Linked DNA regions of Cricetulus griseus. The main gene of each other region encodes a partner of the protein of the gene in region 2 in a complex. Links are inferred from orthologs where the notes say so. Each region holds a gene or a part of one and is shown on either strand. Other genes may lie near its edges.

The links.
Region 1: Erc1 (region 2) and Phldb2 share a complex: the UniProt entries of both Homo sapiens proteins name them as parts of the cortical microtubule stabilization complex. The link is inferred for Cricetulus griseus from reciprocal best matches to the Homo sapiens genes ERC1 and PHLDB2.
Region 3: Erc1 (region 2) and Ppfibp1 share a complex: the UniProt entries of both Homo sapiens proteins name them as parts of the cortical microtubule stabilization complex. The link is inferred for Cricetulus griseus from reciprocal best matches to the Homo sapiens genes ERC1 and PPFIBP1.
Region 4: Erc1 (region 2) and Ppfia1 share a complex: the UniProt entries of both Homo sapiens proteins name them as parts of the cortical microtubule stabilization complex. The link is inferred for Cricetulus griseus from reciprocal best matches to the Homo sapiens genes ERC1 and PPFIA1.

What each region holds. Positions count from the first base shown.
Region 1 is NC_048597.1:44,755,727-44,764,047, reverse strand, and holds the start of Phldb2 (pleckstrin homology-like domain family B member 2), read right to left. Parts: upstream 5,331-8,321; 5' UTR 5,312-5,330; exon of another isoform or gene 5,276-5,311; intron 5,146-5,275; exon of another isoform or gene 4,961-5,145; intron 1-4,960. UniProt on the Homo sapiens protein: Seems to be involved in the assembly of the postsynaptic apparatus. May play a role in acetyl-choline receptor (AChR) aggregation in the postsynaptic membrane.
Region 2 is NC_048601.1:25,024,608-25,032,240, reverse strand, and holds part of Erc1 (ELKS/Rab6-interacting/CAST family member 1), read right to left. Parts: intron 3,039-7,633; 5' UTR 2,882-3,038; coding exon 2,213-2,881; intron 1-2,212. UniProt on the Homo sapiens protein: Regulatory subunit of the IKK complex. Probably recruits IkappaBalpha/NFKBIA to the complex. May be involved in the organization of the cytomatrix at the nerve terminals active zone (CAZ) which regulates neurotransmitter release.
Region 3 is NC_048601.1:2,691,065-2,698,697, forward strand, and holds part of Ppfibp1 (liprin-beta-1), read right to left. Parts: intron 2,695-7,633; coding exon 2,523-2,694; intron 2,058-2,522; coding exon 2,025-2,057; intron 1-2,024. UniProt on the Homo sapiens protein: May regulate the disassembly of focal adhesions. Did not bind receptor-like tyrosine phosphatases type 2A.
Region 4 is NC_048596.1:56,800,585-56,808,718, forward strand, and holds the start of Ppfia1 (liprin-alpha-1), read left to right. Parts: upstream 1-2,515; 5' UTR 2,516-2,717; intron 2,718-3,605; exon of another isoform or gene 3,606-3,628; intron 3,629-3,749; coding exon 3,750-4,013; intron 4,014-8,134. UniProt on the Homo sapiens protein: May regulate the disassembly of focal adhesions. May localize receptor-like tyrosine phosphatases type 2A at specific sites on the plasma membrane, possibly regulating their interaction with the extracellular environment and their association with substrates.

The DNA.
Region 1 (8,321 bases), on a different chromosome or scaffold from region 2:
TATCCTTTTTGGGCTATATTTATTTTCAAAAGACAAGAGACACATTCTTCAAATCCTAGGAAATATTTCCAGATACTAAGTTTCTTATTTGAATTACTAAAGTCTCCTATCCTGGCAGGGCATCATGGCAGGAGAAGGGGTAACAAGAATGGCAAGATGGAAGACGAAAATGAAAGGGTTGCTACCTCCCTCTAGCGAAGAGCCTGCAGGGGGCTGATCTTCTAGGAGTCAGTCCTTTCAGAGTTATTCCTAAATGTTTCCATATGCTTCCCTTTGAGATGAACCTCTTGGCTAGTTGCCAACATAAGACCATCCTTTAACAGCATTTGGAGGTCTGACCTCCCCAGGAAAGGCACCCCAAGACCTTTCCTGTATCAAGCAAACCTCCCAGGCATGAGGATCAGAAAGAAGACATATCACCCTGACTTGAATCCATAACCACAGGCCCAGTGTCTAACTCCAGTGACATAAACCAGTTAGTGGATGTTGTCATTTGTGACTGACACAGCCATACAGGCACAACTGATACCCAAAAGCTCACAGATGATAGGCAGGGTGGTTCACGCCTGTGATTTCAGTATCGTGGAGAGTTTGAGGTAAGCCTGGAGAACAAAGTAGGTTCCAGGCCAACCTGGGCTACAGAATGAGCCCTTTCCCTGAAGCAAAGCAACAAAAGATAGACAACAGATGAAAAAAAACTCATTGAGGTAATTCTTTTCTAGAAATGGAGCCATTCAGTAATGTCATACCTATCAAACTCTAGGAAGAAATTAATAATAACTTTATATTGCTACCAAATCTTTAACATTAAGAAAGCAGATGGGATGGTAGAAACTATGCAGGGCAAGCTGTATCGTGAAGCAGAAGTCAGAAAATTTGTTTGGTTCTGTCACTACCAAGTCCTGAGTAAGGCTTGGAACTATGGTTTGAGACAAGTGATTTTTTTTTTTTTTTGAGAAGTTGCCTCACTCTGATATAGTACTCACTGGTGTGAATGAAACCATCCCCACTATATAAATGAACTTGGGAGTGATTAGGAGATGTAGCCTTGGTGAAAGAGGTGTACGGCTGGGGGTGGGCTTTGAGGTCTCAAAAGAACATCCCAAGTTCAGTATGTCTCTCTCTCTCTCTCTCTCTCTCTCTCTCTCTCTCTCTCTCTCTCTCTCTGTCTGCCTTCTCCCTGTAGATCAGGATGAGAAGCTACTCCTCCAAGTGTCTTACCTATCACCTTCCCACCACGATATGAACTAACCCCCTAATTAAATGCTTTCTTTTATCAGAGTAGCTGTGGTCCTGGTGTCTCTTCACAGCAATGGAACAGTAACTAAGACAATAGGCTGGCCTTGAACTCATAGCAATCCTCCTACCTCTGCCTCTTCAATCATGAGGTTACAGATGGGAATCTACCAAGCTGCAAATAAGACCTCAAGTATTTTGTTTGTTTGTGTGAGATAGGGTCTGATTTGGTCCAGGCTAGCTTTAAGCTTGTCATGTAGTCTGGTATGACCTTGAACTCCCAATCTTCCAGTAATTATATACCACTGCCCCTGCTTCTTTTGTGATTCTGGGAACCAAACCTAGGGCTTCATTCATGCCAGGCAAGCATGTTACATCCCAGCCTGGGAAATTTTCTAAGGTTCCTTTTACTCCCAGAATTAATTTGCCCAGCTTGCCCCAAACAATCAAGCTTGAATTGTCTTCAGATTTCTAATCTAAGCTTGATACAATTGAATGTGCTGTATATACCCATCCATCAGTTTATAGATCTCTCCCACCTACCCACCCACCCACCAATTGCTCCTAAGCAAGCTCATTTGCATAGATGCCAGGCATCTTCCCCCACACACAACACACTCAGGAGCTTCTCCTTTTCCCTTCTGTCTAAGATAACCCTATTCATTCATGTGCTCTGATCCTGATACACAGAGCAGAGAGCAAAGGAGGAGAAGCTGAGATGCTCTGTTTTGTACCTGCATTCAAAGGCAGCATCTGCTGTGTCTGTAGGACCATCTGTTGCTTACTTTGACATGGAAAAGATAGTGCAGGCCTCAGAAGTGGTGTCACAGGTCACACACACCCAGACATATGTTCCATAGTCAACCAGGCTTACATCATTGCCCTCATTCAGGAGTGTATTTTCTTATGAAGAATGGTATTACTAAACTCTCACAAAGGATCCAGTCCAGTTGTTTTTTTTGTTTTTTTGGTTTTTTTTTTTTTGTTATTTTGTTTTTAAATCTGGCTTGCCTAAACATCAATAAAATTCTCTAATCTCAGGTTCTAACTAGAGCGGTGTCTTTCACTAACTCGATCAAGGTCTTACTAGTCTTTTATAGGCATATCACCTATAAAGTGAGAACTGAGCTTAGTGATCACCCAGGCTCACTTGTGTTTAAACTCAACTTTAAGCCAATTCAAAAGCATCAAGGAAACCCAACAAGTTCTTCCATTCCAACAGTATATTAAGACTCTTAATGCCGAGAACAGGAGGATCCACTGCAGGTAAAAAGGCTTCTGGGACATGGTCTGTGTTGAGCAACAAGAGTTAAGTAAATTTTGTGAGGATCCAAATTAAATTAAGATTCCTAATTTGCTAACATCTGGCTGACCTGGGGAAATGCTCTAGAACAGGGATTGGGCCAGACAGTTGTTTGTGTTCTAGACATTGCAGGGTATTTAACAGATCTCTATTCAAAGGACTCTGGTTGCATATTCCTATCCTCAGCTATGATAATCAAAATACACTGTGCAGCATTCCCTTCAGACTGTATGCCACCTCCTATTCCTGAGAACTACTGCTAAAATACATTGCAGGGCTCTAAGGCATCACTCAGAAGGTGTTTGTTTTTCAAATGGATGGCATTCCTGCATCTAATAAGTAAGCACAGAGAGATTTAGCGACACATTATAAAGCACAGGTATTCTTGGGGAATGTGTTAAGCTCCTGTCTTTCCCTGTCACCTGTGGCACTACCTCTTTCCCAATGTCTGCAATCTAGCATCCTGTAGGGTCAATTGTCATAACCACAACCCCAGCTGCTTTTAAAAATTATGCAAAAACTAATCAAGACCCCAGACTTGATTTCTTCATTGTACTCCACAACCCATCATGCTTAGAGTCTTCAACACTGATGAAAGGAGTGAAAACCAGAGTCTGATCAAATCAACTTTGGCTTTTTCTTCTGTCTCCTGAGAATGCTTGCAAAAGTAGTTAACTTTGGCCAGAGTTGTTGAAGACATTTGTTAAACCTTTCCCTATCTTCTTATCTAGCATTTCTTGCTTGCCCCAAAAGGATCAAGCAGACATCTCTGCAGTCATTCTCACCCCAAAAGAACAGCAGCTGCCAGCTGCAGAGAACCAGCCTGAAAATTGACAATGATGACGGCTCTTAACCAAACATCTCATTTTGCCGTTTGTGAGAGAGCTAGGATTTGCAAACTTCCCTGCCTCAGGAGTAAAAGCTACATTAACTGAAAGCAAAAACTCAACTCTCCTCCCTTTGTCAAAGTTTGGAGACCCTGTACCGAGTTTCTTAATTATGCGTTATGTTTAAGTTACACAATGAATTTATCAGGAAAAATAAATAAATAAAAACCTTTTAAACAACTAAGTCCGAGATAGGAAAAGGGAACCTCGAAAGATACAACTGCTACTTTTCAGAGAATCTTAGCTCTTTATTCAAATAAATATTTACACAATTGAAGCCAACGGCACCAGGCATATTCTGTTAAAATAGTGGGCTACTCTCAAGGTTTATTTATCCCAAATCCAACTACTCTGTTGCTATCCTACCAGGAACAAAGAATTCAAGTGATCCAAGGGCAAAAGTTTAACCCTGTGGAACTGTGAACCATATTTGGAGGCTCCCAGCTAAATTCAAACGTTTGAAGCCCAAAGAAAAAAATCTCAAACGTCCAAATTAAGCCCACGTTGGGAGCCTAGTTACAAGCATCATAGTTGAAAATTTACATCTGTAACTTACACATTCATATTCTGGAAGGAAATGCGGCTGGCAGATATTTATACTAACGGACTCCACATTTTATGTCTCTTCTAGACCCCTCACAGCTGCGCCGGGCTGTGACTAGTTGTGCATCCCAAAGCTCGAGTTATTTCAGAACCACAAAAGGAAGACTTCCAGGGAAGAGGGCTGGGCCGAGCTAAAGGATTTCCAGCCCTAGCCGGTCCACATAAAAGGCTGCAGGAGTCTTCCCTCTTTTAAGTGAGAAAGGTAAAAGAGGAACCGCTGGAAGGAGGTTGGAATTGTAAAGCTTTTCCAAACAGGAAATCCCAATCCGGGAAGGGACAGCCCGTCAGCCTTTTAATTTCCTGGTGGTGGCGGGAGTTAGCCAGGTCCTTGGGGCTTCAAGTGCTGATAGCTGGGGCAAAGTTACTGAGCGCACCAAGAACAGTTCAACTGCTCCTCGCAGTGTAGGGAGCTTGTGAAACAGGGTCGAAAGGATCCCATGATTTGGAGCTGCCATCACTAAGGGCGAAGGGAACACTATACCATCTACGTTTAGGGAAACTATAGCTGAATCGCAATCAAGGACTCCTGGTGAGAATCTGGGTCCGGAGGCTCACCCTGCAGCCTCACTCTGGAAACAAAGTACATCTAGAAGCCTAATTCAAAAAGATCCTCTCGGAACCCCATATTCCTCAGGATCCAGCTGTGGACCTTCTCTTTTCCTGGGGTCTAGATCTCTGCTTAAGCAAGTTTCCGCGAAAGTTGCCTTAGAGACCCTTAATTAAATCCTGCCTTTTCGCCTCAACCACTCTAGAGGCGTCACCGTACTGAGCACCCCTTCCCCACGAGCCCTCTACCCGACATCGTCATGCATAAGGAGGGCAGAGTATCCTAGGGTGGTACGGTTCGGGCTCTCCAGACCCCTGCCCAGGCTTTTGTCCCTACAGCCTGCAAGGGACGCAAAGAAAACCTGCGCCCAAGGCGCCCACTCACCAGCTCATCTTTCTCTGTAGTCGCAGCTTTCTTCACAGGTCCCGCTGCCCTTGGGCCTGGCCCTCGCTCCCGCCCTCCTTCCCTGCGGTCCTAGTCCGGGTTCCCGCAGCCACCGCAGCCGCCGCAGCCGCCACAGCCTTGCAGCCAGCCAGTCCCTGAGGCCGCGCACCGCGCACTCTGGGCGCCCCTCCCGGTGGGGGCGGCCACCGCCTCCTCTCCGCCCCCGACCTCCCCAGCGCGACCGGCGGCTACCAACTCGAGTGCGGGGGACGCTGTGTCCCCAGGCAGCCGCCAGGGTTCGCAAAAGCAGCTCAGTCCGCTCCTCCAGGACCACGGTAGCCCTCTACTCACCTAGGGTGACGAGGCGGCTGGGTGCCCGTGGCCACCTAAGGCAGACACACCGCTTTGCTCCGTGCCACACTCAGCGGCGCCCCTCGGACCACGATGGTGGACTCCACCAAGCTCGGTCCCTGGTCCCGACCCCCTCCCGAATCACAGCAGCGGGTCCTTGGAGTTCCAGCTGTGAAGTCAGGGCGCCTTCCGGCTCCTAGGCAGCTAAGTTGCTCCTGCTTTTAGTGCTGCTGAAGTGCCTGGCTACTCATCACCCTGCCCCACCTTCTCAAAGCTGTGTTCGCAGCAATGTAGTAGAAACCTTTGTGACTGGATTTTTCTTTTCTTTTCTTTTTTTAAAAGAAGGTGGAAATGGGACAGGAGAACACACGTCCTCGGGTGGAGGTTTCTTCCCCATGATGAAGTTTCTGCTCTGGGAAACTCCAGGGGACCGCACCTCTGCCACACACTGTTCTCCCCGGGGCAGGTTTACCTGATGCGTCAGGAAAGCAGTTGTGCCAAACAGCAGGGCGACGCCTGGGGTAAGGGCAGGAATGAGAAGACTTTAAAACTCTGTGACACCGATTTCCTTGGAATGGTGTCTCATAAACGGTTCGATGTTTTCCATAAATTTAACATAACCAGTGAAAACTATACTAATGTGGACTTTTTTCACTATTGCTTCCTTGGGAGGCTAGGAAATGGACTGGGGAGGACGACCCACAGTCCATCTTGACACGCCCAGATGGGATTGCCTGCAAAGTTCTGGCCCAGTGGGGTTACAGTGATGAAAGACAACAACCCTGGAGGAACGCACAGCATAAGGAAAGCGCAAGGACCAGCAAGCTCTTTAATTAATAGCAACGTAGCCTGGGACAGTTGCTACCAGCAAGGATGTCTCTAAGGTTGGTACAACAGAGGTACCGGTGGTGCTGGTGCACAGCAAGGCAGCCTCTGCTTCATCTATGCAAAATGCCTGGAGCTGTGAGTAAACTCATGTAACAAAATGCTTATTTAAAATGTTGCATTTGTGTAAGTAAAAGTCTGACTTTTAAAATTAAATATATTTTACTATGTATATGTATGTGTGTTTTTGTGCCTGTATGTGCACGTGAATGGAGGGGGGCGGGGCAGAAACAACGTGGGTTTTCACAGCCAAACTTGATCCTCTACAAGAGTGGTACAGCTCTTAGCAGATTAACAACCTTGCCAGCCCCTAAAGTTTGACTTGTAATTTCTGCTGTAGCCATTCCTATAAAAAATGGTTTGCATTTTTGAGTGTTCTCCGCCCACTACCCCGGTAGGATTTGCACCACAATAATAAATTCACGAGTTACACACTGTCCTTCCCCTCATCTCCATCAACTTCAAATCCCTTACCAAATCTCAATAAAAATAAAGACATTCTTGATTCTGCTTACCTTCCAATTATATTACTGCTTAAGTATAACAAAACACCTTCAAGAAATGAGAAACGCTGTCTCCACTTTCTGCCTTATCACACTCCAGTCAGAAGTTGCCTTTATTGTGTCCCCTTGAGCTTGAACCACTCAAATGAAAGATTGCTCCTTCACAGGTATGGTGGAACATGACAATAATCCCAGCGCTTGAGAAGCTGATGCAAGAGGATCAAGAATTCCAGGCAAGCTTGGGCCTCATAACAAGTTGGGACCAGCCTGAGATACATAGTGAAGACCTGACTCAAAACACCAAAGGCTGACTATTGAAACCAAAATGGCAGTTCCTCAGAAAACTGTGAATCCATTTACCATAAAATCCAGCGATGCCACTCTTGGGCACATAACTAAAGGACACTCCATCCTACCACAGAGATACTTGCTCAGCTATGTTCATTGCAGCATTATTCATAATAGCCAGAAACTGGAAACAACCTAGATGTCCTCAACCAATGAATGAATAAAGAAAATGTGGTACATTTATACAATGCAGTATTACTCAGATGCTAAAACAAAACAAAACAAAAACATTTGCAGGCAAATGGATGGAACCAGAAAACAAAAATCACCCTGAGTGAGGTAACCCAGACCCAGAAAGACAAACATAGTATGTACTCACTCATAAGTGAATATTAGCTGTTAAAAATGATAATCAAACTATAGCCCACAGCTCCAGAGAGGTTAGGCAAAGAGGACGACTCTATGGGAGATGCATGGATCTCCCTGGGAAGGGGCAATAGAATAGATTTTGCAGGTGTACTGGAGGCGGGTGTAGATGGGAAGGGAGGGATCAGTTGTGTGTGTGAGTGGGGGGTACCACCAATGGCTGGCCATGTAATTCAGCATAAGCAAATTCAAGCTCTGATTTCTTCCCCAAGGAGTTGGGAGAAGCTCATCTCACTCCTTAGAAGCAATGACCAGTTGATCAGTAGTTCCTTTTTGTATTCTTGTTTCCTTTGGCCTAGCCAAGAGTACTCAGAGTTTAAATTTGGGATCTATTTTCAATCTATTGCTTCCAGTAGTGCTGTCTTTCTGCTCCATAGAACTAAATCCCAGCCTGTATTGACTATTTGAAAATTTTACCTCCAGACCAACCCACTCCCTGGAATCTCAGGCCCCTGGCAGCTGCCCAGATGGATGCCTACTGACCTCATAGTTACCATTGTCAACACTGATTCCTTGAAATGTTTTCCTGTTTCTAACTACTCTTTTCCAACTGAAGTCACCCCATGTGGGGTCTAAAACCTTATGTCAGCCTTGAACTTAATTTTTCTCCAACCCATCAGGAAGTCTTTTCTGCTTTTTCTAAACCAAAAACAGAACTCAACTACTTTCTGCCTCACTGTCCATCTCAGATCTCATCTGCCATACTGTCTTGACTTTACCCTTGCTCTGTCTTTGCTCTCTTACAGAGTATTGTCAACACAGACACCAGGGTGATCATTGTAAAACATTAGGCCACACAATCTACTCCTTTCCTTATAATTCCACTGTGACCCTATTCAGTCCAGGCAAAAGCCATGTGGTGCCCTTTAGGAGAATCTGCGGCTAGCCTACCCAAGCTGCAGTCACCA
Region 2 (7,633 bases):
TTCCATTCCAGCAGCAACACAGTGGCTTACAACCATGTCTAATGGGATCTAATACCCTCTTCTGGTGTGCAGGCTTACATACAGACAAAGTCTCATATACATAAATAAACAACCTTTTATTTAAAAAAAAGAAGTGCAATAGCTAACTAAAATAACATCTAAAATGTAACTTATCCAAAAGCTTCTCACTAGTTCTGTGATTGCATAAAGCTCACAGGAAGATTTCATTCTTATCCATCAAGTTTACACTACAGTCTTCCTTAGTCATCATTTTTTAGAAGAACTTCTCTATCAAAACACACATGACACACACTCACACACTCTCTCTCATTCCTAACTCTCCAATCACAAGCTATCTGAAAGTAAAGCAACAAAAGGAGTCTAAGATATAAAAATATCTGATAATTTTTATTTCAGAAATAAGATTCTGTGAAAATGCCATTAATAATCAACTAGGCACAGCAGGCACTCCTAAGCAAATATGTTTTTATACTGTTAAGATTCTGGACCCAGCGCAATCAGATCAAACATTTAAAATGGACCAAAATCCCCAGCCTCAAACTGAAATACAGAAATGTATTTAATTGCTATAAAGTCTAATAAACCAGTCTTCTTCACAAATGAAAGATGTCTGACCTCTGGGAGCTACGAAGAAGATAATGAATGCACTATTTAATTAGGGGCCCACTGCTAGCTGACTATAATCTATTAATTAGCATTCTCAGTCTCTGTATCTCACTGTACTGTCTTTAAAATTGCACCCTTTGTTTTTTGGACCGATGTTACACAATTTTAGAACTCTGTGGTAATTACAGTGGTTCGGGAAGAATGTCTCTGCCAGCACTGGTGTGCACTGGTATTTAATTAGGGCACGGGGTGGACCAGATAAGGCGGTGCTCACCCTCTTCAGCACATAATGGTTTTCTTGGCATGAAAAACCTGTGGACTGTTTCTTTTCCAGAAAAATTGTAAGTACCCATAATTGTCTTCTCAAAAGATTCAATATTTTGCCTTTGAATGTAGTGTAATAATTGGAGAAAGGGTACTGCACTGGATTTCTCTACCAAGTCCCATACCCTAAAGCACAGACATAAGAAAAAACATGCCTAATAACTTTTTTCCTCAATAAATTAGACATTTCCAAGTCATTTGACAATAAAACTACCTTACTGGCCATTACATTTTCAGAAAGGTACATTGATGAGTAGGCAATTCAATAACAGTATCTTTGGTTAACACCAAATCTGCTTTAAATTTATATACTAAGAGAGAGACAGACTGAGAGACAACGAATCTACTCTTGAAAAGGCTGGTGGTCAGGCAAGCTAACATAAATCTAGCATTTAGGGGGTGGAGGCAGAAGAGCTCCAAGCCAGCCTAAGCTACATACGGAAGTGGGGGAGGAATGCTGAATTGTCTTTAATTATTTAAAAACATATTGAACCTTTTATTCATTTATTTTAGTGAACCAGTGAATCTTTTTGTGTTAAGGTTACTTACAAATATATGTGTGAGGGGTTCCTTACAGGGGCAGAGATGACTCAAATGTAACTCAAGTGTCATCAAAAAGTCCACTCCAATATAGTTGATGACTCATGAAATTGCAACCTTGAAGCACTCTGAACAATCTGAAGGCAGCAAGACAGGTCCAAGAATCTCTTCTACATGCTAGGAAACTGCTCTTCCACTGAACATATAGCTGTCCTGTGTTGGGTTGGTTTTAATTTTGAGATAATGTCTCACAATACAGCCCCAAGATAGCCCTGAATTCACTATGTAGCCAAGGCAGTACTCAAAAAAAAAAAAAAAAAATTTTATTTGGTTTTTCAAGACAGGGTTTCTCTGTGGCTTTGGAGGCTGTCCTGGAACTAGCTCTTGTAGACCAGGCTGCTCTAGAACTCACAGAGATTCGACTGCCTCTGCCTCCCAAATGTTGGGATTAAAGGCGTGCGCCACCAATGTTTGGTGTAAGATTCTGTTTGTTTTAATTTAGGTGTATGTGAGTTTTGCTTGAACATACCTGTGGAACATGTACAGGACCAAATCTAAAAAAGACTAAGAAAGTAGGAATAGAATTCTGAAGTAAAAAGGAGAAATAAAAAATAAAGGAACAAAGATGGGGGAAATCTAAGACAGGAAGGGAAGAGAATTCCTTGTTTTATTTATATACGTGGATTCAGCCCATAAAGATAAATGTACAAATGAAACTAACCTGGTTTTCTTCCTGCACAACTCGGTACTGCTCCTTCCAAATGGTGATTTTGGAAGCTTCATCTTTTCTCAAGGCTCGCTCTTTCTTCAGCTCTGGACTCCAAAAGGTCTTGATGCTATTCATCGAAGAACTTAATTTGCTTTCCTTTACTTCCACATCCTTCCTCAAGAGATCATTTTCTCTTAATACTTCCTTTAGCTGTGTCTGCAGATCCATGATGGTGTTATCTCTTGCCTGACGAAGAGAGTGAGGTACAGTGGATGCCATACTAACAGGAGGGAGGTGATGTTCTCCAAATGCTATGGTATCGCTAGCAACCCCGCTGCTTGCTATATTGGGGCTACTGCCCATCGCAGTCATCCTAACACCATAAGGCAGGCGTCCCCCAGAACGGCCAAGTGTCATGGTGCTTTTAGGTGTTTCTGAACCCATGTTTTCATGGTCACTTAGATACATAGGGCCAGATGTAGCATAGGCAGCATTTAAGGACTGTATATTCTCCATTGAAAGGGTTTTCCCACTGCCACCTCCAACACTGTTTCCAGAACTCCCTCCTGTACTATTTGTTCGCCGATGACCTAATCGAGGAGATCGAGGAAGCCTCGGTGATCGCCCAGGACTCTGGCTGCTTGGTTCCACTTTCCCTACTGATCGAGCACTTCCATACATGGTTGCAGGGTGAACTTAGGCGCCAAAGATGTTGTAAAGCAGAAAATAACAATGCAATTCTGTGAGGTTTCTCTATGGCTATAAAGTCAGCTTAAGGCTACCAGAAATAGCAGGTCACACCAGCTGTCCAATCTTGAAGAAATACCTTATGCCATATCTGTAATGAAAAGATCACACATTAAACCCCCAATAATAAATATTTCCCATCTCAGAAATGTTCTATTACCTTTATTTGGGAAAGAATCTACTTTCATTAAGTATTCTCATGGCTTTAAAATCAGACAACCCATAATGTGATGTTTTCTATCTGAAAATGGGAGAGTATCAACTGATAATTACAAAGTGACACATCTGAATAACAGAACTCAGACTATTATATAAAATCAAAGTATAAATATCAATACTTGGTTACAATATCAGAACTAATAAAAGAACTCAATGCATTAGTCAGACATAAAATCAATATATAAATATTAACACCACATATTATCAAAAGTCATAACAGCTAAACATACTAGTATGATACAAGATTGGTATTTAAATACCAACACTTTCATGTACACTGGGAATAACAATTAGAAACTAGCTTTTATGGTTAGGAAGATGGACCAGTGAGTAAAGTGCAGCCATGCAAGGATGAGACCCTGACCTGAGGTCAGATCCCCAAACCCAGGTAGAGCTGTATGCAATAGCATGTATCTGACATGCCAGTATTCCTATGATAAGATAGAAGACAGAGAAGGGAAAATTTCCCAAAGTTCAGGGACAAGCTAAAGAACAGGAGACCTTGTTTCAAACAAGGTAAAAGCCAGGACCAACACCTAAGAGTGACCACAGCAAACACTCAAACATGTATAACACACACACACACACACACACACACACACACACACACAGAAGGAGGGGGAGCTGGGAGAAGAAAATGAACTTTTAATTTAAAAATAAGAAACTCGGGCTGGGGATATAGCTCCATTGGAAACAAGATTTGCCCAGCATGAACAAAGCTCTGGGCTTGAGCCCCAGCACTACATAAAACGGATGTTGTAGCATACACATGCCAGTAATTTCAGCACAAGAGGAAGAAAGAGCAGAGTCAAGGTCATCCTCACTACAAAGTTGAGTTTGAAGCCAAACTCACATATATGAGACCCTGACTCAAAAAACAGTCTTATTAACAGCAACAAAGCTATAAAAGTACTTTAAACATAAGAAAAATCTTCAAGCATTTAAAACTCTACTGGAAGACATGAAATAATACCTCAAGAATAAGTAAATAAATAAAAAGGTTATCCATGCTCCCAGACGAGAAGACAAATGCTGTGAAGGACTAGTCCTTCCCCCAGCTCGTTAGCACAATCTCGGGGGTGGCTGACTCTAAAATTCAGATGGAGGACTGAAAGTACAAGAATAGCCCAACTAGACAGGCATGGTGGAGCAGAGCAGGCAGAGGCAGTAGAATCACCACACATTTGAAGTCCATGTGGTTTATAAGCCAAACACCAAAACAGCAGCCAAGGCCACATACTGAAACCAGTCTCAAAAAAACAAAAAGCCATAAGACCGCTTCATGTGTAAAGGTGCTTGCCACATGTGGTGGCTTGAATGAGAATGGCCCCCTCAAATTCCTGTGCTTGTAGAGCCATAGGTTGATGTAAGTTATCTTCTTCAATTACTCTCTTGCTTACATACATAAGGATCTCTCACTTAAACCCAGAGCTCACAGATTTGGCTAGTCTAGCTAAGCAGTCTATTCCAGGGATTGTCTGCCTCTGTCTTCAGAGTTCTGGGATTACAGGCAGGTAGGCAACTCCTGGATGCTGAGAATTCAAACACTGGTCCTCACATTTGCATAGCAAGCACTCTGCTAAGCCATTTTGCTAGTCCCTTCTGAAACTTTTGTAATTTGATTGTGTAGTTCTCAAGTATGAACTCTGAAGAAGACGCTGTGTATCAATATCAAAAGTATAAAAAATACCCGGGCCAGTGAAGACACTTCATCAAGTGAAGGTAATTTCCACCAAGCCCAACAATTTGAGTTCAATCCAAGGGATATGGTGGAAAGAGAGAAATGACCCCAAGTTATCGCTAATGGCTACACACAAAATAAAAAAGCATCTGGGAGGCTGAGGCAGGAGAACTGCAAATTCAAGGCCAGTATAGGGTACAAGACAGGACCTTGTCTAACAAAATAAGAAAGAGCATGTAGTATTTTCATGTTTTTAAAAAAAAAAAAAAAGTCCCGCTATAAACTAAAACATTAAATAAGGACCATTCAGCACTAATAATTTTCATAGTAATCAATGACCAATGACAGAGGTCTGAACTCTGATTGCTGTAGCGTGAATAATAAAAACCCAGAGACGGACATTGGGATTAAAGCTGAAGATCAGAGAAGCAAATCGCCAGCCACTAGAGAGTTCTCATCTCTACCAGTGATCAGACCAAAGGGGCGATCCTGTCCTCTGATTTCTTCTCCAAACACACTGCTCCTCCGACTGCCCCTGACTACACTGCTGCACAGACTCACTGAGACTGCAGACTGAATACACTCTGAGACCCTGTGCTCCTATCTTATATACCTCTCTAGTGCTGGGATTAAAGGCATGCACCATCACTGCCTAGCTTCTATGGCTAACTAGTGTGGCTGCTAGGATTAAAGGTGTGTGCCACCACTGTCTGGCCTCTATGGCTGTGACTAGCTTTGCATTCTGATCTTCAGGCAAGCTTTATTAGATCATAAAATATCACCACAGATTGCTAGTATTTCTGTGAACAGTAGGCTTTAAAAAAGAGAAAAGAAACTTAAACATTAAAGAATACATCTTTGCTCCATCTTTTGCATGTAACGTAGTAAAACTAGGTTTGTTCAAGCCATGTGCTTGATTATGCAAGCTTAGCCTGACTCTTCAGTGTCTACTGGAAACTGGAACTACAGTACACTGGCTAAGGCAGCACCGCCACAAGGGCATAGCAACTTGAAAGAGGGTCTCTGGTAGGAGCAGCAAAATATGGAATTAAAGGTGCAATCAAATTTGCCATTGTTACCACTTCTCACTTTTACAGAAGGGTTAGTAACTCTGTTACAAATCAAGTGGATTACAGGTTTTAATAATTCTTATCAGTTAATCAAGTTAATTGTAAGTTCTATCAACATTCTCACCATGACAAATACATTGTCAAACAGATACTTAGGAGTAAACGGTGGTATTAATCAGGGCCCCAGACTTCTATCAACAATCTGCCACTCAGCTCAAGGGCGGCAAGCCCCCCTTAACACCAGGCCTCACTTATACCATGATCTTTTAGAATGCTAAGATATTCAAATTGCAACTTTAGTTATCTTGCATTTTATACCAAGTCTCACCCTAAATAAAATAAACCACGAGCATGGTGTAGTGTGATAAGGGCATGTCATCCCAGCTACTTGATTGCATAGAAAGGTGATGAGAGATGTTCTTGCCATTTTCCCATCTCAGAGAGAGCTGTTCGTCTTCATCTCTGATAATTCGAAGCACACTAACACATAGAGTATGGTCAAGCCCAGACCTGATAAGATGAGCCTTTTTTTTTTGGTTTTTTGAGACAGGGTTTCTCTGTGTAGCTTTGGAGGCTGTCCTGGCACTCGCTCTGGAGACCAGGTTGGCCTCAAACTCACAGAGATCAGCCTGCCTCTGCCTCCTAAGTGCTGGGATTAAAGGCGTGCACCACCAACACCGGCTATGATGAGCTCTTTATTATTAGGCAATTTATCATTTATGGCAGCCAAAGTGCTGGTCCTCTGGACTTTGTGCCACTCATCAATGGATAACAGAAACAAAAATGTGTAATTGTCAGCTTGGGGACATTAATCACACAGAGTCTTATTGTATGCCTGGCCTTAGCTTGGCTTGATTCTTGCCAGCTTTTCTTAACTTAAATTATCCTGTCTATCTTTTGCCTCTGGGCTTTTAACCTTATTTCTGTATACCTTTCTTTACTTCTTACTCCATGTTTTGCTGGGTGGCTGTCCCCTGAGTCCTCCTCTCCTTCTTTGGCTTCCAGCTCTCCTCCCAGATTTCCCCTCCCCTGTATTCTCTCTGCCTGCCTACCCTGCATATCATTTCTCCTGCCTTTCTATTGACCATGCAGCTCTTTATTAGACCAATCAGGTGTTTTAGACAGGCAATGACAGTTTCACAGAGTTAAACAAATGCAACATAAAAGAATCCAACAAATCTTTGCATCATTAAACAAATGCTTCACAGCATAAACAAATGTAACATATCTTAAAATAATATTCTACAACACGGGCTGGAGAGATGGCTTAGCCATTAAAGGCTAGACTCACAACCAAAAATATTCTACAACACAAGAGGATTTTTTTCTTTTTCCTAGAGACGAGATCTCATACAGACCAATCCGCCTTATAGTTCCTGACCATCCTGTCTCCACCTCCTTAGTGCTGGGATCATAGTATGCTCCTTCCTGTGTGTATGAATGCAGGCATAATCATGCCTTGACCCACGTGTTTCACAAATCAGAGATAAAAAACTCAAGTGTCTGCTCACCTCCCACCTTATCTATCCTACCCAGTGCTGCTAGCACCACCACCCCTCTTTTTTTTTTTAAGGAGACATGGGTGCATATAGCCCAGGCTAGCCTTGAACTAGCTATACAGCTAAGAATAACCTGGAATTCTGATCTTCCAGCCTCTACCATGAGTTCTGGGGTTTCAGCCTCACACCCTCATGTCCAATTAATAAGGTGCTGAGC
Region 3 (7,633 bases), about 22 Mb from region 2:
TACAGCTTACTCTCCGGCATAAAGTGAATTAGCTTAAAATCACCCCTTTGAGAGTAAAAGTGTGTGGCAGTGCACACATTGTAAATCCCCTACCCTGGAGGCTGACACAGGAGGACTGATTGCGAGACAAACGTGGGCTACAATGTGCGACTCTCTCCTTAAAGTAAAAAGTGCCTCAGAATTGTCACATTTTTGAATGATAAGATTCATGATGAGATGATGCCCAATCTAGTACTTGGGACAGCGAGCCTCCTGTATCCTCTAACGTCACCACTCCCTCTCTGGTAATGACTCTCTCTCTTGGATGTGTGGCCTGGGTGTTTCTCCTTTGATGTAGCCCCCACTTCTATACTTGCTACACTTTACACCAAGACTCTGCTTAGCTCCCTCTTCAGGCTCTCGGCAAATTCACCTGTTCTAAGCTCAGTGCTGAAGGATGGCTTTATTTTCATAGGAGGAGGTACCAAAACCTCTGAGCCTAACCTCATCCAGCACCACACCTGAAGACTATGCAGAGTCCCAGCTTAAAGTGCCACGGACACATGGGACTTATCAAACCCATCAGTTTCCCTGCAAGTCTTCTGTTTATGTCATTTTCTTCTTAACACCCTTCTCCTTTGCCATTTAGATCTCATCAGTTACACAGGACTTGTGATTCTTTCTCAGGAAATGAATCACCAGTATGGTGGTGCACTCCCATTGAATCCCAGCACTCAGGAGGCCAAGGCAAGAAAATGTCAAGCTCAAGTTCAGACCAGACTATAGTTGGGACCCTGCCTCAAGAGGGGGAAAATCCTAGCCTATTATTATATATGGGATGGGAGAGAGCAATGACTAGGTAGGTATGTGTGAGTTTTTCTTTAGATATAAAATCGGTCTTTCTTAATCTGGCTTTGAAAGAATAGCATCCACAGTGGCCACTGCAGGCCTCTGTACATACACAATGCATGGTCCTTCAACTGTCCATTCCTGGAAGAACAGCCACAGGCAAAGATGGGGCTGTGGTTTTCCAAAGGGCGAAATTTTACATTTTATAAAGGAAAATAACACTTGTTCAAAAAAAAAAAAAGATCAGGAAAGGAGTCTCAGGAATTGCAGAAGTTGAGTTTTCTATGAAGCAGAGCTGTGATGACAGGTTACAATAAGCAGCACTGGCCTACAAGCATTGACTACTGCCCTAGAAGGACATGGGAGTAGCTGAGAGTAGTTGTCCAACTGGAAGAAGAGTTTAGTCTGTGCAGCCAGCGCTCATTGTAAACACTTCGGGCTCCAAAGACAATGATGCCCCTTTGTGTGTCAACAATCTGGTATCTATACAAGGTGACAGCCTTGGGGAAACCCAGGGGGATCTATGCACTCTCATACCACAGCCACGGGGTATGGGTACCCTGAAAATGTTCCTAGCCCAGCTCATTCAGAACACAACGTACTTCTTTATTTTATTTTATTTGAAGGCTTTCTTCATACTATTCCCCACAGGGAGACAGAATGGACTTCTCTTAAAAGCACTCTGATGTCGACTCCCCAGACACCATGTGAAGTCACCGCTGTCATCACTAAATATTCCTAACGCCCAAGTAATATAATGTCCAGAATGTCCCTCCAAGAGCAGTAAGTCAGCTCCTGCCTGGCAACGGACATTCTGGGGGGAGGGGCAGGGGTTGGGAAAATGAGCACATGGAGGAGGAAAGAGGGTTGGTGGGTGGTGGTTCAGTCATGTGTGAGTAGAGCTGGGTGTATGATGCCAGCTCAATCCAGCCCTGCACCACGCAGACTGCTGGGCATTTCTAGGGCCTCTCCGGGCTGCTTACAATGTGTCGACAGCACTGGTTAAAACAGCGTGTAGACTCAGAAGCAAAGGCTTTGTGGAGTCTGTTTTCACCAAAGATGGAGGAATACTTTGGAACAGACTACGTTTTCTGATTGCAGCCAGCTTGCTTGATAGAGATCACAGAGGTCAAGGGTGGGGATAAGAGGACTCAGAGTGCAGCACTGGTGAAGGCTGGCATGCAGGGGTACAATACCTAAGGTAGGTGCACTGGCACTTCGTTTACGATCTTCAGGAATCCCAACAACGCACACAACACATGCAGCCCAATGGAGAGAACACAGGGATGACAAAATGAAAACAGATCAGACTCCTCCCTCCAAGGCAAATGCCCATAGGAGGGACGCACGCATGCACGCACCAAGACTACACAGACTGCACAGGGTCGTCCGTGGGGACTCATTCATCCCACCACCACAGAGGGAGACTGTCTAACAAAGTCACAGACCACCACAGGGTCAGGACGATCTCATTTTGCCGTCTATCTCACTGCACAGAGAGTGGGTAAGAGTTGACTTATCATCACACTTGGAAATCAAATCCACTGAAGCATTTTTGCTAACATCCCCCCTGAAGGCAATCACCTTCATGTCTGAGAAAGAGAGATGTATCCACAGATGAACAAAGGATGGGTGGAACCAAGCCTTTCCCTCTGTCTGAAAGGTCAGGACCTAGGTACCCTTGCCATACCTACCAAGGTTTGGTGCACTTGCTGTCCTCTTGTTACTTTTGATTTTAAAAAAGCCTCGGCCAAAGGAGGACCTGGCTTTTCGAGTGCCAAAGGGGTTGTCATCCATGGAGACATCATGTCCTGGAACCTTGGGAGGCAGGGTCCCAAATGTGCAGCTGTCGGTTGGAGCTTTATCCTGAGGGGTGATGAAGAGGTAATGGGGTGTTAGGGTGCATTATCCCTAGGACAGGAGGTTGGACTCAAATCAATGCCACATCACTGGACAGACAACTGAAGTAACACACTGAGCCCAACGCCAAGTGACATATTAAAGAAGCCTGGGCAATAAACAGCAACACAATGAACACCTCTAACTCCAGCCACAATCAAGACATTTGCTACTTTAAGTATTTAAGCCAGCTTTAAAAACAATTAAGTTCTATCTGTCTCATTCCTTCAAGACATGGAGTGAAGATATTCCATACCCAGGACTTTCTCTGTGTAGCTTTGGAGCCTATCCTGGAACTAGCTCTTGTAGACCAGGTTAGTCTTGAACTCACAGAGATCCGCCTGCTTCTGCCTCCCGAGTGCTGGGATTAAAGGTGTGCACCAAATCCGTCTGGCAAATTCTTACTTTTCTAGCAATTATGGTGCACAGCTATAAATGAGTTTGCATCCTTAAATCACCACACAGCGACAGAAGCCTGAGGCAAGTCTACGAAGCAGGCAGTGCCTTAACACACAACGAGGAGAGCCTACTCAGTCATTTTACACTCAAAGAATGAGAAGAGGAAGGTACATTCAGGCACTGGTGTTTTTTTTTTTTTTTTTTTTCGGACTCTGAGTCAGTCACTGAGCTCATAAAGGGTGTCTCCCTGCTCTAGTATCACCGAGAGACACTTCTGCTTGCCTTTCTTTTCTAACACCTCCTGTTCTCTGCTTTTCTTTGCACAGTTGGTGAGAGGGTCAAAGAGATGACCGACTGCATTAACCGAAAGTCTATATGCACAACACAGTCATTAGCTACGTCAACACTGATAAGTCCTTTGATCATTTATTGAACCAAGGGTTGAAAAGGACCTGAGTGACAGCTGTCTCCACTGACTGCTGGTTCCGTATCTGAAGGACTCAGGCGCTCAGAGCTGACAGTCAGGTGGAACTGGCCTTGCACCCTACTGCAGGCCTTAATGTGGTTGATGATCGGAACCCAGGGGAAGACCTGGGACACAGGCTGACGACCTGCTTAGAATGCCATGCTTGCTCCTATGGACAAGGGCTGTGTGTGAGACAAACAACTGGTCACACAGATGATCAAAGCACCCAACTAACATCCACAGGTCAGTTTTCTAATAACATATAGAGGTGAACTGTGGGAAAACTAAGCCTCAATGGGCCTGACAGCTGGCCTAGAGCATTCGCAGTTGGTATTTCCTGACCCCCAGCCTGGGTCTGCCAGTTGGCCTTGACAACAGCAGCCGAGTCTGATGAGAGATGACGTGGACTTTGGACAGTGACCAAGTCACATCAGCAGATGCCAGCTCCTCCCCTGGGGCAGGTTGAGGGGTATATAAAACTCTCCCCTCCCTGGGATAAACTGAGCTTGTTGTTCCCAATGCCTGTATTGGTGCCACACCTACTTTCCTCCAATGTCACGGGATGCCCGTCAGGATCCTGCAACAGTGACCTTCTAAAAAAATATTTATTTCTTATGTGTATGTGTGCCTATGTACATGTGTGGGAGTGCATGTGCTACAACATGCATGTGTGGAGGTCAGCAACAACTTGTGGGAATTGTTCTTGCCTTCCTGCATGAATACCCTGGGGATTTAACCTAGGCCATGGGGCTTGATGGCAAAATGCCTTCACTCCTGGAGCCATCTCAACTGCCCAAAATTAACCTCCTCATTCTTCTTTTTCCCCCCAAAACATTCATTTTATGTCTACCCAATACTTATGCCCTGGTCAAAGTCTGAGACCACAGAATAGCAGTCTGCACTTGTTCTACACATAAGCTCTGTATGTCCCAGTGTATGTATGTCAGGTACATGAGTTCACATGTGTATATGGAGGCTGAAGGTTGGGTGTCTTTTATTTCTCTTCACTGCATTTTTTGAGATGGAGTCTCACTGAACCTGGAGCTCAGTGACTGATGAGACAAGGTGACAACTCCCAGGGAAACTCCTGTCCCCACAGTCTCTCAGCACTGGGATGACAGGCATGTGTTTCCATGCCCAGTTTTTATGTAGTTGCTGGGGATCTAAACTCAGGTCCTCAGGCTTACAGAGTGCACAATTTACCACTGAGCCATCTCTCCAGCCCCCAAGAATAATTTAAGTCTTACGTATCACTTGAAGCTCCTTCATTATCCCATTTTCAAGCAATACTCCCAGCCCCTATCTTTTAGAAATTCTGTCGAAGTCTGTGGTTCTTATTCCATCTATTTTCTTTACAGTTTTACCACCTCTGGATGCCACTAAATGACACATTTATAGCTTGATACATGCTGATATTTCATGGACACGTTTCTGTTCTCTGAATTGTTTTTGAAATCCATCTAGGAAATGTGTATTTCTGACTTGTGAATCATACAGTCTCCATCACAGTTACTCCACACAGCCACCGTTGTGTGAAAATTTCACTGTTGTGTGAAATCACTTTAGGCAGTATGTAAATAAATAGGCATAATGAGTTGCAATATAACTTGGGTAAACTTGCAGCTGGTCTTGAGACCATGGTCTGCCAGCCTCTGGGCTCTGAGTGCCGTGAGGAGTCTTTTGAAGTAATAATCTGTATCATTTCCAGTTCCCTGATTACTTCAGCAATGGTTTGGGAAACAAAGGGCATTTGGAAAATCCAGAGAACCAAATATATATACAATATATACATATATTACATATAAAAGCATATAAATGAAAAATATTTGAAAAAGGAAACAAACCAGGAGCTAACTAATTTTTATGTAACTCAGCTGCTTATGGATCTCAATCTTTGCATGTTACAACTGAGTCAGCACTGGATGAGACAAACTAACCACCATGCTGAGACTGGTCTATAGTTTCAAGTGTAGCCCTCAGCTGAGCCCTCAGGATGGTCCTTCCCATAGTTTCCAGCTTCCACAAAGATCCTCACAGGCTTCTGCTGCTGTGAAATATTATTTTAACTGAGCAAAGATGCGTTGCATTTTTTCTGCTGCATTTGTTTAATTATGAAAAGATGTGTTGCATTTGTTTCACTTTGCCCGCCTAAGGCACCTGATTGGCCTAATAAAAAGCTGAAAGGCCAAAACCAGGCACGAGAAAGTATAGGCTGGGCTGGCTGACAAAGAGAATAAATGGGAAGAGAAAGCTAGGCTCAGAAAAAAAAAAAAAAAAAAAAAAGAATGAGAGAAGAAGAAGAATAGAACGAGGGAGATGTCCAGGGCAGAAGACAGACAGACATGGAGAAGCAGTGAACATAGGTACCCAGAAGTACGAAAGGTGAACAGCCCAAGGTAAAAGGTAGATAAAGAGAAACGGGTTAGTTTAAGTTAAAAGAGCTATCCAGAAAGGATCTGAGCTAAGACTGAGCATTCAAAGCTAATAATAAGTCTCGGTATTGTGACTTGAGCTGGTTGGTGGCCCCAAAAAGAAAGCCTGGTACACTCTGCTCTGCTGTCCTAGTGTGTCCAGGCTCTGAGCAGCAGTTGTGAAGTGAACAGCAGAGCTCTCTAGTGGGCAGCTAAAATTCTGTTAAATAGATGGAACCTTCTGGAAAAGTTTTCTGTATTTTACATGATTGTCCCACCCTCCTAACGCTGGAAGTGGACTCTTTCAACCACCAAGTTGGAAGCCCATGCGTGCGTGCGTGCGTGCCTGCGTGCGTGCGTGCGTGCCTGCGTGCGTATAGATCAGAAAAGGGTGTTGGGACCATTGGAGTTTGCGAGCTGGGTGATGGGTTCAGAATTCATAATTAACTTTTTTTTTCAGACAGGGTCTCACTCTATAGACTCACAGAGATCCACCTGCTTCTGCTTAGAAAAAATTAACGTAAAAATATTTATGATGAGGGAAGTCCTTCTGTGTATATGTTTGTCTTACTGGTTGATAAATAAAGCACTGTTGACCAATAGGGAAGCAAGTTAGGCAGGACTAGGAGTCGAGGATGAGTCTGGGAAATGCAGTAAAGGGAATTCTTGTGATCCAGGCAGGAAGTGACATAGCAGAAAGACTCAGATTATAAGCAGGGACAAGCAAGAAATCACAATCTTCCTCCTCCTCTCTTCTCTGGGAGCCACCATGTGAGCCCGACAAGAGAGGATGCATGCCACTGGCGTCCTCGATCAGATAAGGCTTTATAAAATATATAGATTAATAATTATGGTTGATACTTAAGACAGAGATAGCAGATAAGAAATCCTAGTCATTGGCCAGCAGCACTGTAATTAATGTAAGACTGTGTGTTATTTGGGGTGCCCACGTGGCGGCAGGGCTCAGGCGACTTGGCCGAAAAATTTATCATTATATTTTATGTATGCATGCATTTTAGTATATGGCTCTTTTATCTGTATGGACACCTGCACACCACAAGAGAGCACTGAATCCCATGGGCCTGTAGTTACAGAGGGCTGCAAACCACTCTGTGGTCTCTACGAATTGAACTCAGGACCTCTGAGAAGCAGCCACTGCTCTTAACCACTGAGCCATCTCTCCACTGACTTTTTTGTTGCTGTTGTTGTTTTTGGAGACATAGTTTCTTTGTCTACACTGGAACTAACTCTGTAGACCAGACTGGCCTCAAATTCCTAAAGGGATTAAAGGCACACACTACCACCACCTGGCTAAAAATTAACATTTTAAAGTAAATAACTCAATGGCATTTAGCACTTCTCTGAATCATTACTACCCCATCTACTCCCCAAACACCGCCACCATCCCAAAGCCAAAGCCCCTCAGCTTCTCCTTTTCTACCCTCTTTCCCCAGCTATAGCCACCACTCTGCAGCCTTCTCTGAGGACATATTCATGCTGCACACTTCACTCAAGTACAGGCACACACACATGACCTTCCCAGGTGTCTTTCTGTACCTCAAACAATGCTTTGGAGACTGACAGCCTTGGTCTCCTGGAGTGGGGCCATTTACTCAATATACAAGTCACA
Region 4 (8,134 bases), on a different chromosome or scaffold from region 2:
TGGTCCTAGAGAGCTGAGGCTCAAGTCTTGGATTCTACACTTTATTATCTACTGGGGGCAATGCATTTGATTTCTGATCTCTCTGAGTGTCATATGTCTAGAAGAGCATAGGAGAACTTGTGGGTGCAGGATTCTTTGGATGTTGTTCTGCAAATGTGACTTCTGTATGTGTATGTACATGTGTCGTCCTCAGGAATGCCTTCCACCTTGTTCTCCAGCTGAACTTGGGACTTGTCTATTTTAGACTGGCTGGCCAGTGAGCCCCAGGGATCCTATGTCTCCACTTCCTCAGGCTGGGATTACAAGGATGCACTGCCACATCCTTTTTTTGTTTGTTTGTTTGTTTTGTTTTGTTTTGTTTGTTTGTTTGTTTGTTTGTTTTGTGGGAGTCCTGAGGATGGAACTCATGTCCTCACCCTTGTTCAGCAAGTCCTTTACTGACTGAGTTTCCTTTTCAGCCCCAAATTTGGTTCCATTATCACTCCATCCAGAGGTATCTGTGTTCTCAGATCAACCCAAACAGACCAAATTCCCAACAAGGAAAAGCAGGCTTACTCTTGAGCACGGTTTCAATAAATTGTCCAATCCAGGCAGAAGGAACTGCATCAGGACTTAAGACTCTCAGGCTATGGACCTTTTTGTTTCAGCAGCTCATTGGACCTGACTCCTCAGCTGTGGAATAAGAAGCCACATGTTGTGGTGACTGGTTATCCTCAAACACTTGTGAGATTTATCAGGAGTTCAAGGCTAGCCTCCGCTGCATAGTGAATTTGCAGCCAGCCTGGGCTACATGAAACCATTTCTCAAAAACGGAGTGCTAGAAGGGTGGGGCTGGAGAGATGGTTCAGTGGTTAAGGGCATTACTGGCGCCTGCATGGCAGCTTGCAACTATATGTAACTCCAGTTCCATGGGCTCCAACAAACACTTATGGTCTCTGCATGCATCAAACATGCACACAGTACACATATATGCATTCAGGCAAACATCACCCAAACACATGACATAAAGATCAATAAAAAGAGGGACCTGAGGTGATGGTATGTGTGATAGCATATACCTGTCATCCCAGCGCTTGTGAGGCTGAGACGGAAGCATGGAGAGCTGTACACTAGCCTGTCTCAGAGAGCCCTTGCCTCTAAAATAAAATGCAGGCCAGTGAGATGGTTCAGCAGGCAAGGGCACTTGCTACCAAGCCTTATGACCTAAATTTGATCCTTGGGACTCACGTGGTTGAAAGAGGGAAATGGCTACTGCATGTTGTCCTCTGGCCTCTATTCAAGTTGAGTCATGTACTTATGCAGACGTACTCTTAGACACATAGATACACACAACATAAACAAATAAATGGGATAAAAATCCAAACAAACAAACAAAACACCTTGAATGTCAGCCATGTCTCTGTGATTCAGAGGGGGCAATGGTCCTGTAGTCTCTGTTCCTCACAGCCATCTCTGCAGATATATGGTCTATAGTGAATGGGTGCAAAGCATCAGGAGCCGAGATTTCCACAGCCAGAAAGCTTGGGAAAACTCTTGAGCATTAGCAAGCAGTGGGATGGGATCTTCTCCGTGCAGCTCTATGAAGACCCCCCCCCCTCTCTCTCCAAGCGATCTCACTATCCCTGGCTGCCTGGCTGGTTTGGAACTCAGTATGTAGACCAGGTGGGCCTGGAACTCACAGAGATCACCTTGCCTCTGCTTCCTGAATGCTGGGAATAAAGGCTTGCAGCATCAAGACTGGCTGGCTTTTTATTTTATGTGGGTTCGGGCAGTGGAATGGAGGTTCTCATACTTGCAAGGGTGGCTGAGCCCTTAAATTTTGTGTTTTGTTTTTACATTTGCTTACTCATTTGTGTGTGTGTGTGTGTGTGTGTGTGTGTGTGTGTGTGTGTGTGTGTGTGCATGTGTGTGCATGCATGAGAGTCACAAGGCGTGTACAGGTCAGAGGATAACATTCAGGACCACGTGGGTTCCTAGAACTGCATCTATTTAATGCAGTTCTTCTGGGTCTCAGAGATCGAACTCAGTCGTCAGGGTTGACGGCAGTCGCCTTTGTATTTTTAGAGACAGGGACTCCAACTCGAAGCAATCCTCCTGCCTCAGACTTCTGAAGGCTAGGCCATAAGCTCCAGGCAGGCACCTTGCCCGGTCTCTGTCATCATTTTTCGGTCCTGCAGATGGCCCGGCGCGACTCGGAGACTCAGCAGAACTCTTGGGTCTGAGAGTGGGCGTTCGGGTGACGTCAGCGCACGCGCTGGAGTGACAGCACGGAAAACAGCAGGACTGAAAACTGCGCGCACTTGCCATAGTTCTTTACCTGTGAATCCACCGGTGGGCGGGGCTTGGCCTGGCTCGGGGGCGGAGTGGAGGGTGCGGCTAAAGAGAGAAATAGCCAATTGACGTTCGGGAAAGGCCGCCCTCCCACTACCGCGGAGCTGGCGCATGCGCATAGCTCCGTGGCCGTCTCTCCCTCAGGGGGCGGTGCTGACGCTCGCGCCGACGCGCCGGACGTCAGGCACGTTGACGCCGGCGACGCGCCGGGCCCGGTCCTCTGCGCTCGCCAGTGTCCCGCGGCGGCGGGCCGGCCTTCGTGACGAGCGGGGCGGCGGACCCGGGGGCCGGGCGAGGACGCAGCTGCGGGGCTGCGTGGGTCGGCCCGCAGCCGGCCGCCGCCCGAAGGCTGCCGCGTAGCCCCGGAGCCGCGCCCGCCGGCCAAGGTAAGGGCGGGCGGAGCGGGCCGCGCAGGGTGGCGGGCCGGGGTCGGCGGGGCCGAGTCGGCGGGGTCAGCGGGAGGTGGTCAGCGGGAGGGGGGTCAGCAAGATTGGGATTAGCCTGGCCGAGCCGGGGTCAGCCAAGGCGGGTTGATATCAGTTAGGTCTGAGTCAGCTTAAATTGGCCAGGGTCAGCGAGGTTGGGGGCAGTGAGACTGGGGTCAATTGAGCCAGGCAGGACCAGCGGAGTCCTCGATGGCAGGATCATCCCGGCATGATCAGGTGCACCTGCAGGACATCCCCTTCATCCCCCGCCCTGTGCCCTGGCAATCTCTAGTGCCATCTCACCTTTCTCTTCTCCTTCTTTATTATCTAGTCTTGCTGTCCCGACTTCCTAGATTCTCAGTGTGGAAACTCTCTCTTTTCTTTTGCCCCCTCTTTGACTGTAAACTTATGTAAGTTAGCTTGGCTGACCAACCGTTGCACAGCAGCAGGCCTTTGCAAAAACACCTCTGTCCAGGCCTTAAAGAGCCAATCCAGTTGCTTTTTCCGCTGCTCACCAAATATCCAGCCCCACAAGTCAGGGAGCCCGGCAGTCCTTCCCAGGAGCTGACTGCACACATTCCTGGAAGATGCCTTGGTCCATAGCGCTGGTGCTTGTCAGTTCTCAGCCGTCTTCTGGTGTTGAGGGAATATGTTTTGAATGTCTCTTCCTGGAGAAGAACAAAATAAGTTAACAGAAGCCCACTGTCTTCAGCTGCTGAGAGTGCGGATTTTCAACAGACTCCGCTGATTTGCCCTGGGTGGGAGAGGTGAGCATTCCAGCTCCCCTTGCTCCTGGGACTGTGGCATCCATCTCCCAGTCTGCTCTTCCTGTTGGTCCGTGCATGCTACTTGCCATAGTGTGTGCATCCAAGGTGAGCAGCTCTGACAGTGTGGGACTTGTCAGCATTTGCTCATCAGCCACAGGTGGTGCTCGGAAAGCTGCAGGCTTGTTCTGCACCTACTGACTATTGTCTGCATCTTTCCTGTTTCAAGATGATGTGCGAGGTGATGCCGACCATTAGTGAAGCGGAAGGCCCCCCAGGAGGAGGTGGAAGCCGTGGGTCAGGCTCCCCTTCACAGCCAGATGCTGATTCACATTTTGAGCAGCTCATGGTCTCCATGCTGGAAGAACGAGACCGCCTTCTGGACACTCTGAGAGAGACACAAGAAACACTGGCGTTAACCCAGGGGAAATTGCATGAGGTTGGTCATGAAAGAGATTCCTTGCAGAGGCAGCTCAACACTGCGCTTCCACAGGTATGCCAACCAAACTGAAACCAAGGTGTCTGCCACTAAATGTCTGTGGGATGATCTTGTTAATGTGTTAGCTTGCTGACTGTTTTGTGTAACCACTAGGAAAGTGATGTTTCTGGTGGGTTTTTGTTTTGTTTTGTTTTGTTTTTGTTTTTCGAGACAGAGTTTCTCTGTGTAGCTTTGGAGCCTATCCTGGCACTCGCTCTGGAGACCAGGCTGGCCTTGAACTCACAGAGATCCACCTGCCTTTGGCTCCCAAGTGCTGGAATTAAAGGCATGCGCCACCAACGCCCGGTTTCTGGTGTTTTCTAAGCACAGGTAAAATTCCCATGGAATTCAGTTTGGGAATAAATGGGTATTCTCCAAAGCCATGTGACCACACTGCTGCACTGTTGTGCCTTTTTGGGTAACTGCCTAGATTTGGGAATGTGTTTCAGAGTTGGGTTTTTGTTGTTGCTGTTTTGTTTGGTTTGGTTTCTCTGTGTAGCCTAGGCTTACCTAGAACTCACACTGTAGACCAGGATGGCCTTGAACTCAGAGATCAGCCTGTCTCTGCCTCCTCAGTGCTGGGATTAAAGGTATGCACCACCAGAGTACCTGGCTATGCTTTGACTGGGGCTGTGAAGCAATGAGCTATGTAGTGTCTCCCATTCTGTGTCTTAGACTTGTCCATGCCTGCTGTGGACCTGTGAGGAGTGGATCTCTGGGATTTTATGTCTTAATCCTGGTTTGTGTCTTGTGGATTTCCAATTTCCTGAGGAAATCTTGTGGATAACTAGGACTGATTCCATTGGTAAAGTCTTCAGAGGCTTTCTTGAACATTACAAGAGCTGTAATGAAACTTTGTTTCAGGGGAGAAATGATTGAACATTGAATCCCAAGGCTCCTCCTCTTCCTGGGTAGATGAGACTTTCAGAGCTTGAAACACCTTGTGTATCTTTAGTATTACATCTGAATTGGTGTGCTAGAGCCTTCTCTTCCAGAGTCAGTGGTAGGGGAAGGAGAAAGTGGGATAGCCTGCAAAACCCAAGGTGAAAGGCACATGGAACAGGGGTTGCTTAGCTTTGTGCTGACGAGCCCACTTTGTTCATTCGTGATCGGTATCTTCATGGTGCTCAAGGAAGCTGCACTTATGCTCTCACGGTGGGGTTGCAGAGATCAGTTCGCAAGTGAATAATCACTGCCTTGATGCATCTCTTGGCTGTAGTCATTTCTGTAAGATTGGACTAAACGTTTGAATGTCCTTTTTAGAAACAATTTGGTATTAGTGTTGTGTGCTGGGAGTTTTTGTTTGGGGGCTAGAGAATCATTTCTTCCTGGAGTCTTAGGAATTAGCAGGTTAATTAGGTCAGATTTTGTTGTCACGTGTTGAAGAGGTTTTTAAGATGCTGTGAGTTCCAATTGCTCTGCTTTGCAATTGTGTTTGTTGCAGCAGTGTTTGGCCAACGCTTAGGTTTTTGGAAAGAACAGGCACTGGGGTCACAGAACTGACCGTGTTGTGGGCAGTGTGGGTTTCAGGCAGCAAGCATGGAACTTGCTAGGGAGCCTGTTGCCAGGTGAAGCTGGCTGCTGCTCTGCAGTGCCTCATTGAATTAGGACATGCTGGTATCCACAGTTATGTCAGAGCTGACCTGAGTCTAGTGTTATAGAGTAAACTTATTTCAGACCATTCCCTTCCTGGAATCAGGGTCCTCTGATGGCTAAAAATGTGACCAGACGGGCCTATGTGTCCAGTCAGTGTCCTTACAATGGAGAATGCATGAGGATCCACAGGTCACAAGTATGTGCCTTTGCTAGCTGTTCAGTTATGCTCATGGAGCTCTGCTTGGATCAAGAGATGGACAGGACCATACCTCCTATGAAAACCCCCTCCTACTGCCTGCAATCAGTGACTGTTCCCTATTCTTAGGTGGCCCAGTTCTTCACTATTGGTTCCTTTGCATATGCTTGACTTTCTTTAGGAATTGTGTATGTTTTGTTTTGACTCTTCCCTGGACTCTGTGAGACCCACCTTTGCTTTCACCGAAGTGTGCTGTGTAGATGGGCCCTACTTGTTCTTGATGCAGTTAGGACCCCTGAGGCTGCCACTGTCTTAAACTTCCCAGGCTGCCTTTGCATTTGGGGAGGTGCAGAACTAGATGTGTGTGTTTCTGCTGGAGTATTCTAAAGAGTGGAATTGTAGTGACAGCAGCCTCAGGAATTACTGCCAAAAGTGGCTGTGGTGACAGTTGGTACAACCACACGGCCACCAGCAGTATGAGAGGCCATTGTTATGTACTCCAAAGTTCGAAGTGGAGAGGTGGACTGCAGCCACCTGCAGTGCAGGGACCCTTTTTTTGTTTGTTAATTGGATTGTCTGTTTCTAATTTGAAGTTCTTTATACATTCTGAGTGCATAACTGTATAGAAGAGTTTTTGTTTTTGTTTGTTTGTTTGTTTTGGGACAGGGGCTTTCTACATAGCCGTGGCTGTCTTGGAATTCACTATGTAAGTCAGGCTGGCCCCAAACTCATAGAAATTGGCCTGCTTCTGCCTCCTAAGTACTAGGATTAAGGACATGCACAACCATGCCTGGCTAGATTTTTTTTAATTAATTTTTTTGTGTATGAGTACAGGTTGGTGTGTATTCTTGTATGTACATATGTTTTTATGCAGGTGCTCATACACTTATGCACAGATGTGCTGAAGCCATGTTGGGTGTCTTCCTTGACTGCTCTCAACCTTACTAGTTTTTTAGTATTTATTTTATCTTGTGTGTATGTGTATGTGTGCCTGAGTGTTTGTATGTGTACCATACATAGAGATAAGAATTGGATTCTCTGGAGCTGGAGTTCCAGACAGTTGTGAACTACCATGTGGGTGTTGGAAACTGAAACTGGTCCTCTACAAGAGCAACATGTACTCTTACCCATATGTTTAATCATCTTTCCAGCCCTTCTCTACCTTACAGACATGGCTGCCACACCTGGCTTTTATGTGGGTACTTGTGTACTTTAACCACCGAGCCATCTTCCCAGCTTGGAAGGTTGTTTTTATACTCTTGTGTTTGTCTCTTCACTCCAGTAGTATTGCATCTATATGTAGATACAAATGTTCACATACATCCATATATACAGGTCTTGCCATGTAGCCCAGGCTAGCCTATACCTTTGATAATCCTGCCTTAGCCTCTCAAGTGCTGGAATTTCAGGTGCCTACCATATCCAGCTCAGTTGTATCTTTTTATGAGGAAAAGTTTTAAATTTTAATGTAGTTCAATTGATTGACTCCCCTCCCCCCAAGAATATTTTTGGTTGTGAGTCTATCCTTTAATAGGTGAGCCATCTCTCCAGCCCAAGAATATTTAATTTAGGGGCTAGAGAGATGGTTCAGTGGTTAAGAGCACTAGCTGCTATTCCAGAGGACCTGGGTTCTATTCCCAGAACCCACATAGATACTCATAGTTTTCTGTAACTCCAGTTTCGGGAGATCTGATGCCCTCCTCTGATCTCCACGGACACCAGACACACAGGTGGCACATAGACATACATGCAGGCAAAATATCCATACACATAAAAATAAGTAATTTAAAAAAAAAAAGAGTATTTCATGTGGGCCAGGCTGATGGTATACACCTTTAATTCCAGCACCCAGAAAACAGAGGCAGATGGATCTCAATGAGTTTGAGGCCAGTCTAGTCTGTGTAGTGAGTTCTAGGCTAGGCAGGGCTACATAGTGAACTGTTTCTTAAAACAAAACAAAACAAAAAAAACCCAAAATAATAAATACTGTGTTCTGATTAGGAAATGCTAGTCTTGGGCTGGGGTATGTCTTAGTGATAGAGAGGATGGTGGTTCTTCTGCTCTCTTTGCCATTTTTACACAAATACCACAGTGTCTGGGTGATTACAGATGTTGTCTTGAGATCTGATATTTTAAGTTCTTTACCTTTTTCTTTAAGATTTTCTTAATCTGGCTCATAAAATCTGCTTGGGCCAGAGAGAAGCTCAGTGGGTTAAAGCGCTTGCCCCATAAGCCTGATAGCCTGGTGGTTTTGGACCCATGGTGAAAGGAGAGAAGTAATTCCTGAAAGCTATTTATTATCTGACCTCTGGGCTGGTGTTTTTTCAGCATTGTCTGTCTAATC